2 linked regions of the Caenorhabditis elegans genome follow. The protein of the gene in region 1 purifies or fractionates together with the protein of each later gene. This does not show direct contact. Each region holds a gene or a part of one and is shown on either strand. Other genes may lie near its edges.

Region 1 (5,066 bases):
ATGTGCCAAAATATTGAAGATTCTAACACCTTTTAGAGTGTTGCAACTAGATAAATATACTTCTAATTGGTGAATTTTCAGTACATTTAGCCAAAATCCCTAAAAACATTTTTAATAACCCCAAATCTGTAAATTTCAGGCAATTAGCAATGCAAACAGTGATTTTGGAGACAGCTCGGCTAAGCTTCAATTTCTACTCGGTATCAATCCATTTCCACAAGAAACGTTTGCAAATCTTTTGTTTCTTTATTGCAAGAATGATTATTTCGGCTTAGCGGCAGACGTACTTGCTGAAAATCCAAGTCACACTTTTTATTGTCTTAATGAGGTTTGCAGTAGTTATAGTTTAATTTAATATAACTATATTCAAGTATCAATTCAACCTTCTCGAAGCTCTGATCTACATGCCAACCAACCCAGAAGAAAGTTTGAAGAAGTTAGAGAAACTTGAAAAAGAATGTCTCGATCGACTCCGGAAAACTGCAATTGAAATTCAAATAAAAAAGGAGCAGAAAACTACGGACAGCGATGATTCTTTAGAAATGAGAAATCTTATTGAATCCTACGATGATTCACTGGAAATGTACCTTCCTGTACTGATGACCTACGCCAAATACTATTGGGACAAAAGAGATTATCAAGCAGTTGAGAAGCTTTTCAGGTAAAAGGCTTGTAAAAATGGGCCGATAAAAACAATATTTTATACGAGTTTTATTTTTAATTTTGTTTAACATTTTTTTCAAATCTAAACATTAATTAGGCTCGAAAATACGACATTGCTGTAAGTTACTCAAAAATGTCTTCTTTTTGTTGAAAAATTGGCAATCTATCAAAACGTTGGCTGAAAATTTTTAGAGTGTTTCATTATGATATTTGGATGTTTTGAACTTTAATTAAAGCTTTAACAAAACCCCATTAACAAAGGTTGGCTTTTTTTTGCCTACCTAGCGACATTTTTTGAAGGAATTCCGTGGACTACTGTAAAGAGCATGACACTTGGAAATTGAATGTGGCTCACACAATCTTCATGCAGGAAAAGAAATATAAAGACGCTGCTGCATTTTATGAACCAATTGTTCATAAGAAATATGACGATGGAGTAAGAGCTTATTTGGAAATCTCAGTTAAAAATTTTTATTTTAGATTTTGGAAGTTCCTGCCATGATTCTTGCCAACTTAGTTGTTTGCTACATTATGACGAATCAAACCGATGAAGCTGAACTTATTCTGAAAGCTGTAGAAAATGAAGAGGAAGCTGCGTTAATGATGAAGCCTAATGAGAAGTTCTTCCATAATTCCATAATTAGTTTGGTTATTGGAAGTTTGTACTGTAGTAAGGTGGGGGGATTTTGTTAAACGCGTGCATTTTCATATTTTAATTTGTTCCATCTTTCAGGGTAACTTTGAATTCGGAATTTCCCGCGTCGTCAAGGCACTAGAACCGCCTGAGAAGAAGCTGGGAGTCGATACATGGTACTACGCAAAAAGATGTATAGTGGCTGCTATTGAGCTCATGGCGAAGAATTTGTTGGTGATGAGAGATTCAGTTGTCATGGAAGTTATTCAATTTCTAACCAGCTGTGAAGTTCCTGGACGTAATATTTACACGGTTCCAGATGACTTATTTGAGCAAGCTGGAGAATCAAAAGTTAAATGTAATGTTACATATGAAGCCAGGATGATCAAAGCGGCCTTGTTAATGGTTTTCAATGATTGATTTTTCAACACCCCTAAACACTCCAATATTGAACTTTCGTGAGAAATGTAATATGTCTGCAAAGTATTTCCTTTACATCCGAATGTATATATCATTCATATAAATGTATATGTATTATGACGTATTCATAAAGTTTTTCCTTTTCTTGTGGACCCTCATGTGCCCGTCGCTGGGCGTCTCCTAGGTTTCATGCACATCTCCATGGCTCCGAGAATGTCTCCACCTTTTTTGGGAGATGCACAAAAAGAACACAACAAGCAAATTGAATAGTTGAAGGTGTATTTTATTTTTTTTTGCTGATTATGGGCTCTTCACCATCCAAGCGATCGGATCCGGTGGAGGACATTCGGAAGGTAAATTTTAAAATTTTTAGAACTGCTTCCACTTGTTCACACTTATTTTTATGACAAACTTGAAAGAAAAACTTTAAGAAAAATTTCCTGGAATATCAACTAGAAATTGTTGAGGAAATTTTTGAGACTTTTTAGAACTATATAAATTTTGAGGAAAAACCGGGACCAGTTGAAAAATGGGCTGATCCAGTGGAAAGAAAGTCTCGTGACGATGAAGCAAAAGGTGAAACACCAAAACAAAAAGGAACTGGAAAACGAAATGCCAAAGTGACTCCGTCGAATGAATCTGATGCCGTTCCGAAAGGTGGAAAGCTGAAATTGACAGAGGGAGTTGTTCAGGTAAGTTCTTAAAAAAGACTTGAGAGAAAATGTGTTTTGTTCCAGGATTATATCAACATTGAGAAAGCCATAAATCGCTTGGAACGGAAGAATGTTTTGAAGAAGTTTGAGTCGCAAACAATTTATGCAGACAATTTGAAGAATACAGTTGAACAGTTGGAGGCAGTTTTGAAAGAGTTGAAGAAACAGACGTATGAATTTATTATTTATTATTGATTATATCGAATTTCCACTGGAACTTCCGAAGAAAAAGTTAATAATTTTAGAGAACGAGAGAAAACAGATCTCAAAAATATTGAACAACCTTCCGTTAGAGATTATTTGAAACAACAAGGACAATGGGATGATAGATATTTAAAAGAAAAAGCTGAATACGAGGATGCAATGGTTCGACAGGAAACAGTTCAGAAAGAGTTGAACATTGCAAGAGTTAACTATGATAATGCTGTCAAAATTCAAGAAATTTATAAGCAACAAACAGACAATTTAAATGCATTATATGAAGAGCAGGATAAGATGTTGGAAGCGATATTTGGAACAGATTATGCTTCGGAAAAGGAAAATGTTCTGGAAGGAGAGGTAAGCCGTCTTGTTTTAATTCCATTGGCTTGGAAATCGACTTCATTCCTGACAAAAATAAAAATTACCCTTTACAGTTAACTTGTGATATGTCCATCAGGGCCGCAGATTCTCTCAAAAATTCTGCCTTTTTCTTGAAAATTAAAAAAAATTGTTGTGAAATTTTCAAGAGGTCTCATTAAGAAATTCGGTTTTTTGAAGAATACTTGGCTGCTCACCTTTAATTTGCTCTTTTAGGTGGATGATATGGTAGATTGGCAGCAGCGAGTTTCCCTTGCCATGTTCAAATGGGCAAATGGAAGAGTTCTACTTGTCCATGCTCTCACTCAACTCACTTTTGGAATCAATCGATGGCAAGATGTTCAGAAAATTGAGAAAGAGTATGTTTTAATGTGCACACACAAGGCCACCTACCAAAATAATCACCTGTAACTTTAAGAAACGAAAGAGGTCGTTATTTCGCCGCTGCAGAAGCTCGGAACAACTTTGTGGCAGCCGCGCAGAACGTTCAATCTTGTCGAATGTACTTGAACAAAGTTGATTTTCCGTACGGAACTGAAAAAGAGATTGCCCTCCTCGAAGATACTGTTAACAAGGCTTTTCGCAATGTGGATAATGATTCTGAAATGAAAAAGGTAGATTTTTTAATCTTTTCTATTAGACTTGCATTTCCTTGCCTTACTTTAACAGCTTACATCTCGGCTCTCGTTAGTTTTATCAAGAAATTATCAACTGAAAAAATACGAATATCTAATAGGAAAAATACGAAAATTGTTAAAACTTTGTGATTGAAGTTATTTCAGGCTCTAAAAGTATTCCAAGAGACTCAACAAAAAGTAGCCGCTTTGATTCAATGGTTTGATAAAGTGATAAATGATACAATTCGAAAAGATTTGGATCAAGCAAACAATGAGTTGATTAAGAAACAGAAGGCATTGAGAGAAGAGAGACTTACTTTGATGAAAAAATTGGTAAGTGTTGGCTTAAAATAATTGAAGGATTACAAAACTAAACTGTACTCATATTAAGGCCAAGGCACAACTTGATATCGACATGAAAATTGATTATGATGACGTGGCAGATGATGAACTGGAGCGAGAATTGAAAGAGCTGGAACGACAAGCTCTTCGAGACGTGGAGAAGTTGAAGGAAGCGGATGTTCAAGGAATTTTGGACCTGGGAAAATCCGATGGGCACATCGTAACACCGTTGAACAAATTGGCTCCGCTGCCCTCGAAAGATGCATTATTTGGAGATGTGAAGCAGAAGTTGGATGAGTATGATGAAACGAGAAAACAATTTGAAAGACGGAATAATCTGCAGAGGGAGAAACAAGCAATGGCATTACAGGAGAAGTTGAAGTTGAGGCAGCAGAAAAATCGAAGAAATAGAAAGGAAAGGAGGGATAGTATTGGAACACCTCCATTGGAGCAACCTGTCAAATCTGGAAAGAAGAAGTCTGCACATCATTGACTACGATAAGATGCCACTGGGATAATTTTCATTTAACAGCCTATTTTTGTGTGATAAAGTTGTCATTTTCACTAGTTTCTCAAATGGAAAAAAAAATACTTGAATTGCCTCAAAAATTATTTTTTAAAAGAAATTTTAGAAAATCAGTCAGAATTATTGAAAAAAACATTGTTTTAAACCGTGAGGCATTATTTAAACTTCCGTCCAATGTCTTGGATACAAATTATTTCACAATATTTTCATCAAACGTTTCAAATTTATTTTCTCTAGGAAACTTAAAAATTGACTGTAAGTTGATGCCACGCTACTGACAGAGAAACTGAAAATTGCAGATAAAACATGGGTGGATACCTCTCATCACCTCAAATACTTACTCGTAAGATGCCTGGGCAATTTAAAGTCGGATGCATGGATCTTATGATTGAGGAAGCAGCTGGCTCGGGACTTTTCATGAGATTGTTCTTTCCAACGGATTCTGAGGTTTTTGGTTAAATTCGATGTCTTCTATTATAATAATTTTTGTGATTTCTCGGCGCCATTTTCTTACTCAAGATTGGCCCAAAAATATTACCTAGGATTTTCAAGACTTAGCCAGCTAAATTTGG
Region 2 (7,461 bases), on another chromosome or scaffold:
AAAAGTGTGAATTTCGTCCAGTCGTCACACCAAACGAAATTGATTCTCATAAGGAGTGGTATCACAGGCTTCTAATGCTCAAGTTAGAATATAAGCGCGGTGAACGGGGAGCTTTTCCTCCATTTCCACCACCACCTCTTCCTTCCATGATGATTGCTGCAAGTAACGCCGTATCGTTCAATGCGTTCGACGAAGTCAAAAGAGCAGCTCAAGCGAAAACCGTAAGGTTATTCAGAAATTCGATATCGTAATTATCATTTTCAGGCAAAGTCTCCGAGCACGTCTTCATTGGAAAGACGAGCCCAACGTTTTTGTCCCGCTGATTTTCAACCACTTCCTCCACCTCACATCTACATTGAAATGATCAGAACATTGGCTCCTCACCAATACATTGATTTGACTTATGCTCTCGCTGGTTCGGTTCTTTTAGAGATGGGTGTCAAGATTCCTGATCGATATCCGAATTTACCTCCGAAAATTGAACCGTACCGAGACATTGAGTCAGAAGAAGCAGCTCACTGGACTGAGATGTCATCACAATCATCCTCGGAAGGGGAATATTCAGACGCTTCTGAGAGTGCGAAGCTAGTGCAAACGTTGAATAGAAGAAAAAATAAGGAACGAAGGGAAACGAGGAAGATAAGAATTGTTGCAAGTATGCTCACATCTTCGACTTTTTCAATGAAGAAAAAAAGGAAAAATGAAGGACTTGATTTTAAACATGAAACATTTCCGAGAGATTATGATTATAAAGAGTAAGAATTTAAGTAGTTATCGAATATTAAATCGTTATTTCAGAAAAACACTTTCTACATTCATTCCTCCGAGAATTGCCCGTCGTCCTCCTATTCCTCCACCGCAATTCTTCTTTCCACCATCACCACATTTCAGGTATTCATGTAATTTACTAATTCAATATCGCTAAATACTAATTTTATATTTCCAGCCGTGAGCCTCACTCGCTCCCACCAATGCCGATGATGTTGCCTATCCCATTACCACCGATGTCACTATCCTCTCCAATCTCGCCAATCCATTTCCAAAAAAATCTTCAGTCTACTCCAGAACGTCCTTCTCGAACTGATTCTTCTCGAGTCCACGCAAAACAAATCAAAAACGATATTATTATCGTCGAAAAAGTAACTGATGTCTAGAAAGACAATGATTATTTAATCTTCCAATTCTTTTCATTAATTTTTTCCTTAATTTCTGTAATTTTTAAAATAACATTTCAAGAAACTTCTCATCTCTCGTAAATCGACAAAGAGTCGTTCCTTTGTCCGCAATTGCTCGTCGAATTCGACGTTTGTGCAGAGCCGGCTGCACAATGGTCGTCGTGTCTGGAACGATTTTTTGTCGGTGAGCGACGGAAATGTTCTGAAAATCTTTGTATTTATGCTTTTGTTTTTTCTCTGTCTTCGCTTTCCCAATTTTACAAATTCCATTTGTTCCTGTTTCTTTCATTCCCTTGACAAAGTCACAAAATTTGTCCTTTTTTTCCTTTTTATCTACCGTTGTGATCTACACGAATAAGATTTTCTTCATGCTTTTTTGCTTATAAATTTTTTTTTGTGCTCGTTTGGATTTCGATAGTCCTATTATATTTATTAAAAAGATAGAAATCACAAAATTAAAAAAAGGCAAGGTAAATTTCAAAAACTGAATAATTTATGATTTAAAATTTCAATGGATATACTGAACTGAAACTTTAAAATCGTTTAATTTGTATTTTTAGGTCGTTATTTCTAGACCTCCCGAACGAGGGTCAGATTAATTAAAAAATTGCCTTTTTTGAATTTATGGAAAAACAAATCGAGTTATTCTGAATGTTGGATCATAAAATTGTTGCTCAATAATCTCACACCCCAAATCTTGTCGCAAATTTGCACTCTACTTCTCTGGCGCCATCTCTCGTTATTTCTATCTGCCACCGTGAGTTGTTTTCTTCCTACACTTCTGTTAGCGGGCCCCTCGTCTCGTTTCGAACGTGCCGTCCCCTCCACGCTCTCCATTTTTAATTCTCTTTTTCTCTTCGGTGAGTGTTTGTCTGTGAGCGAAGTGTGAGTGTCTTCTGGTTCTATCACTCATATACGCACATCCATATTTATTTCGTATATCACAGTTTAGCTCACACACACTCAATTTGTTGCAGAGGCTGTCAAAAGCAACAGTCTTTTCAGTTGGGTTCAATGCCAAAGGATAAAAAATCTAAGCAAAAAAAGGAAGGAAGTAGTGGACAAGAAGTAGAAATCGTCATTAAAAGAAAGAATTCGATTGTGGATTCAAGTGGAGGCTCGTCTTCTTCATCTTCCGAAACATCAGGAAGCTCATCGGATCAATCATCGCAATCTGGAGATAGCGACGGATCCATTGGATTTGGTAGGATTTATTGTTTGGAGGAAGCTGTTCACTCTCAAAAGCGATTGATTTCATCGATGAGAAAACATCAGAAATAAATATTTGAAATGCGAGGGATTTCGCAATTGATAGTTTTTAAAAAATTTCGGACAATTCAAACTCCTGTTTCAGCGCAATATTTATTTTTGATCTACAAAAATTAACTTTAAGAAACTTGTTTTTGTAGAAGTAGATCAAGAAAATTAGTCCTCGAAAAAAAAATTCGGAAAAGAGGTACCGCGAAAATTGTCAAATAGTTTGCTGAAAACGAGAATTTCATGCGGCGTCCATAGTGCGGAGAACAGTTTACTCGCTTTCACATTGCTCAACTTAACATTTCGCAGGCTCTGATTGGTTGATCACGCCCAATTTTTGAAATTGATCAATAGCGAAACGAAAAACTCCTCGCTTTTTCTGCGCACTATGGACGCCTCGGAAATTTCCGTTTTCCAAATTTTACCATTTCTTCTGAATAAACATAACCAAATTTCAGAACACGAGAAAGGTACAATGACTGGCGGTGATAATGTACAAGGGAGCAGCAGCAGCCACCCCGATTTGGGAAATAATTGCTCCGTGAGAATTAGAGATAGAACAGAAGAAATGCGGAAATTGATGGATGAAAATGCAAAGAACAGACCGGTGCGAATTGTCGACAATGTACATGGTGTTCCAATCACAGAATTCACTCACATAGTTCCTATCTCGGATCAAGAAAGAGATGATGGTCCATCAACTTCTGGAAGCTATCCGAATAGAGAACCTGCTCAGGTAGGAATTGAAAATAATTTTTTGAACCAGGTGTCAGAAAGAGCTTAATTTTAAAAAATTGCAGCCGTCGTGTAGCAGTTCAAAACAAAATGGAAAGACTGCGAAGAACAACTTCAAACAAAAACAATTGACAAAGAAACAAAGAAAAGAGCTCGAAAGGAAAGAATTCGAGATTTCCGGAGCACCAGCGCCAATCTATCCAGGTCAAAAAGAACGCACGAAAAATCCGATAGAATATGTTGTTGAAAAAGAGCGAAATAATCTTCATGTTCATCACTTCAATGAATGGTCCGGTGATAATGTTCGAGATGGAGAAATGGTGGTTCGAGGAACGAATGCAGCTGCTCAAAGTATGCTCGGACAGGATACGGTAGCCATTCCGTATTTGCGCCATGAAGATGAACTTGGTCCTCCAATGCATTACACTGATCTACATAAAAATTCTCAAATGAGATATTTACGGAACGTTAATACAATGTAAGAAATCAAGTTGTTCATAATCTTAAATAATTTTTGTTTTTCAGTGGAAATTACACCGGCCTTCCAGCTGCACTGAAACCACTTCATCGGATGGGATACGGTATAGCAGCATCGGGAATTCCAGATCCAGAGCCTCACACCTTGACGATTAATGGTGCAAAACCATTTATGAAGTACCAATACACAGATTACGTGAAATCTGGAGCAAAAATAATCAATTGGCGGAGTGATTTTGTTTCCAATGCAGACATGGATCAAACTTCTCAAGATGAAACCTATGTTGCCATTATGATGGATCACAAGAAAGCCCTTGAAAATATGATCGAAAATACGGATGATGAATTTCAAAAGAATATGATTATTGCACTGAGAGATCTCGATTTGCGACAAGTTCTTCTTCGATTTGGAGAAATTGAACGAATCATCGTTCGTCGGAAACAAAACTATGTATTCAGTGATTGTTTTCCACGATTCGATTCTCTTTCTCGTCAAGCTCGTATCACATATGTTGTGACCCAAACTCTTGACTGGAGCACTAATTTATTTCTCGAAAAGTTTGAAGACGATGTGACTGAGGAACGTGCCTGCTCAATTTTAATGCATCTTGCCTCAACATGTCCTGGAGAGAAACCATGTTACGAAGACAAGCATCGGAAATGCTCAATACTTCACTTCTTGATACATACGACCGCCAACAAGAATATACATTTGAGTCACAAATTTTCTGGTGGAAATACACTTCTTCATTTCGCTGCAATGACAGGTTCACCGTGCCAAGTCGATGTTCTTCTGCGTAACGGAGCTCCACTAAATGAGCTGAATGATCTTCATAAATCTCCAGTTGCATTAGCTATCCGAAGACACACTAGTCTGATTGCTCGACAATTGATGTGGCATGGAGCTGATATTGGAGGATCGTTGTCACTGAATCATGTTCAGCCAAGAACACCTCGACAGGCAGCGGTATTTTTTTAAATGTTTATCAAAAATATCAACACTTTTGAAGTACTTACCTATAAATTTCTAGATTTAAAATTGATATTAAAAGCAATCATAATATTTTTTCAGAACAAAGAGCTCTCCGAATATCATGATTATCAAGCAAAAAGCATTTCGTACAAAGCACGAGAATTTATCAATCAACGTTTGAGGGCTCTGAACAACTCGTTTGTTTCATGGGTTGAAGCCATTATTATTGACGCCGATGGACGAGTCAAGCTGGGTGTACATTCTGTAAAATCAGGTCTTCATCAAGTTCGCATCGGACAAGACATTCTAGATAGATTGGTGGTTGTACAAAATCGTACATTTGTTAAGGTTTGTATGAAAATTAAAAAAAAAACTATTTAGTCTAAATTTTTTGTTTTAAGAATAGTTTTGGAAATTATTATAACTCTATAACTCTATATAACTCTGAAATACTACAAATAAATTTTATTCGAAATTCTTTCAGAAATCATTCCAAATGGTGATCGAGAGAAGTGAATTCGAAGAAGAGCCAGTGGTAAGTCTTTTTCTTTTCGAATTATCTTAAAACTATAAATATTCACATTTGTCAGGTTCTCTTCCTCATACCTTGTCAATACAATCGATTTGACACTACAATGCCTGCCAATTTCCCACATATTGTTCGAGTTCCGATGGTTACTGATGCTCTTGCAACTGCTGAAAGAATTGCTGCGAAAGAGAAGAAGCGTATTGCAAGTGGAGGTGTTCGTGTTGAATACAAAGATGATTTAAAAGGCTGCCGACCGATTAAACTACTTGGAGAATCTGTTTCGTATGTTAATCATATGAGGAACCTTCATAAAATAATTGAATTTATTTCAGAATTAGCTTTGGAGACGGAAACGTCGATCGCCGAGAAATTCTGGAACCATTCTTCTCATTTGAACATAATGGAATCATATATGCTTACAATTTGCCTCCAATTATTTCAAGTAAGTTTCCATTTCCCTGAAAATTTACGCAATTTTTTAGATAATTTAGAGACAAAGTCCAAGCAAGTGAATGTCACGGTGAATCTCACGATTCCGGAAACTGAAGGAAATCGATTCAAAGATTGTTTCTTCATGGTTCAAGCTGTTCAAATTGTTGTTCGGGAACAACCACAGCCGATTAATCCGGCTTTCGAAAGTTCTCCCAATTCTTTTAACTTGAGACCAAGGGATCCGAGAACTGATATGATAGCCGAGAAAGTCGCTAGAATGAGAACCGAGAAGGTGATCGAAGAAGCGGCACGACGAAATGAAGTGGAAATGAGAGATAATCGAGTTCGTGGGATAGTTGCTGATATTGAGTCAGCTATAGCCTTGAAAAAGAGTAAATCGGTTCGAGGCGAAGCAACAACATCTGTGTCTTCTTCTAATTCGGCTTCATCCAGTTCGCAGGTGTATGTGAAGGACAAGACTGTTGTACACCGCTTCCCATCAAATTCTATGAAAGATTTTGACAAGCCTCCGGTATCTTCAAACAAAACGAAAACTGATTGATCTATCATATAAACGGTAAGATTTGCTTCTGTTATTTAACAATCAATTCATTGATTTTCAGATGTCATTAAAAACGGATTTCTTATTTATCATCATCAATCATCCAAATGGTTCAATCACTTTTGCTCCACAAGTATTCAATTTCTAAAACCTTCGTTCAATTTTTAATTATTTTCGTATTATTGTTATTCCGCGCTTCATGCACCTCGTTCTTGTGTAATTATCAACTACTTTTTAATCTTTTTACTGTAAGAACAGCCTATCCTTTCAATATAATCATATCGTTTTTGCCAAGTTTTCCGCAACCAACAAATTTTCGTGTCGAGATCTTTTCTCAATGTTTTCCCCGTGTTAAGCTCTCTTCCTGTTTTCATTCGGGCCTATTTCTTTTCTCTCAATTTCCATTTCTCTCTCTTTAAACTTGCCCCAAACATCCCATAACTCTTCTGGTTCAATTAAGAACGTCTAAGTCTCAATCTACACTCCGTTATTTCCTAGTAATAGTTTAACCTTTTTTCCCAGTTCACTTTTTTTAAATTAAAATCAATCCGGCTATCCCTTTGTATTGTGTCCCCGTTCATTATCTTTTGCCGTTGCATATATACCCACTTTCCTGTGAACACCATCAAACCAGTTCAAGCTCCACCCGTTTGCCGACTCCGCTCCAATTTTCATTTCTCTTTTCAATTTATATTTCATTTCATACTTTTGTGTATGTATTGAGTCTTGAGACCTTTCTGGAGAGTTTTAGACTATTAAATTATAAACGCGTCTTAAATTGCATAATATTTTCTTTAACGTTTTCTCAGTGTCACCTTTTTTAGCTGTTCAGTCGAATTATTGAATACCTCGTAGATATTATAAGATTCTATTACAATTAAGCCATATTTCCACACAGATGTCTTCTGTTAAAATCTTCGAATTGCTAGATGTTCTTGACAATTTGAAACATCTCAAGCGAACCGGCTGGGTAAAATGTGGAGTTCCTGAACCAGAAACTGTAGCCTGCCACATGTATCGAATGGCTGTACTCGCAATGGCACTGGAAGGACAAATTGATGGATTAGATGCAATTCGGACTGTGAAGATGGCTCTTGTACATGATATTGGAGAGGCTATCGCTGGGGATATCACTCCACATTGCGGAGTTTCTGATCAAGACAAATTTGATTTAGAGAAAAAGATAATTTCTTGATTCTGATTAAAATCAAAATTCTGTAGAAAGTTGCTTCAAAAATATCTCAAATCACTTTTCAGGCTATCAATACAATCGCTTCATTCGTTCCAAATGTTGGCGAGGAGTGGACAATGCTCTGGAAAG

Evidence for each region. Proteins that work in one complex are often made in the same cells at the same time.
Region 2: the proteins of cil-7 (region 1) and F45F2.10 fractionate together in Caenorhabditis elegans (co-fractionation; one large-scale study listed by BioGRID). This does not show direct contact.

The regions. Positions count from the first base shown.
Region 1 is NC_003279.8:4,986,351-4,991,416, reverse strand, and holds cil-7 (CILiary localization), read left to right. Parts: upstream 1-1,962; 5' UTR 1,963-2,019; coding exon 2,020-2,070; intron 2,071-2,223; coding exon 2,224-2,409; intron 2,410-2,454; coding exon 2,455-2,600; intron 2,601-2,675; coding exon 2,676-2,988; intron 2,989-3,225; coding exon 3,226-3,368; intron 3,369-3,427; coding exon 3,428-3,623; intron 3,624-3,791; coding exon 3,792-3,959; intron 3,960-4,017; coding exon 4,018-4,461; 3' UTR 4,462-4,528; downstream 4,529-5,066. Other genes in the region: dyf-1 (Tetratricopeptide repeat protein 30 homolog), read left to right, coding at 140-328, 372-661, 964-1,099, 1,144-1,338, 1,397-1,717; paf-1 (1-alkyl-2-acetylglycerophosphocholine esterase), read left to right, coding at 4,801-4,941.
Region 2 is NC_003283.11:8,513,039-8,520,499, reverse strand, and holds F45F2.10 (ANK_REP_REGION domain-containing protein), read left to right. Parts: upstream 1-1,735; 5' UTR 1,736-1,932; intron 1,933-2,152; 5' UTR 2,153-2,189; coding exon 2,190-2,379; intron 2,380-2,890; coding exon 2,891-3,168; intron 3,169-3,232; coding exon 3,233-3,645; intron 3,646-3,692; coding exon 3,693-4,611; intron 4,612-4,716; coding exon 4,717-4,965; intron 4,966-5,101; coding exon 5,102-5,152; intron 5,153-5,207; coding exon 5,208-5,428; intron 5,429-5,478; coding exon 5,479-5,588; intron 5,589-5,628; coding exon 5,629-6,140; 3' UTR 6,141-6,155; intron 6,156-6,201; 3' UTR 6,202-6,927; downstream 6,928-7,461. Other genes in the region: F45F2.11 (Protein kinase domain-containing protein), read left to right, coding at 1-221, 265-755, 799-891, 947-1,154; F45F2.9 (5'-deoxynucleotidase HDDC2), read left to right, coding at 7,039-7,323, 7,398-7,461.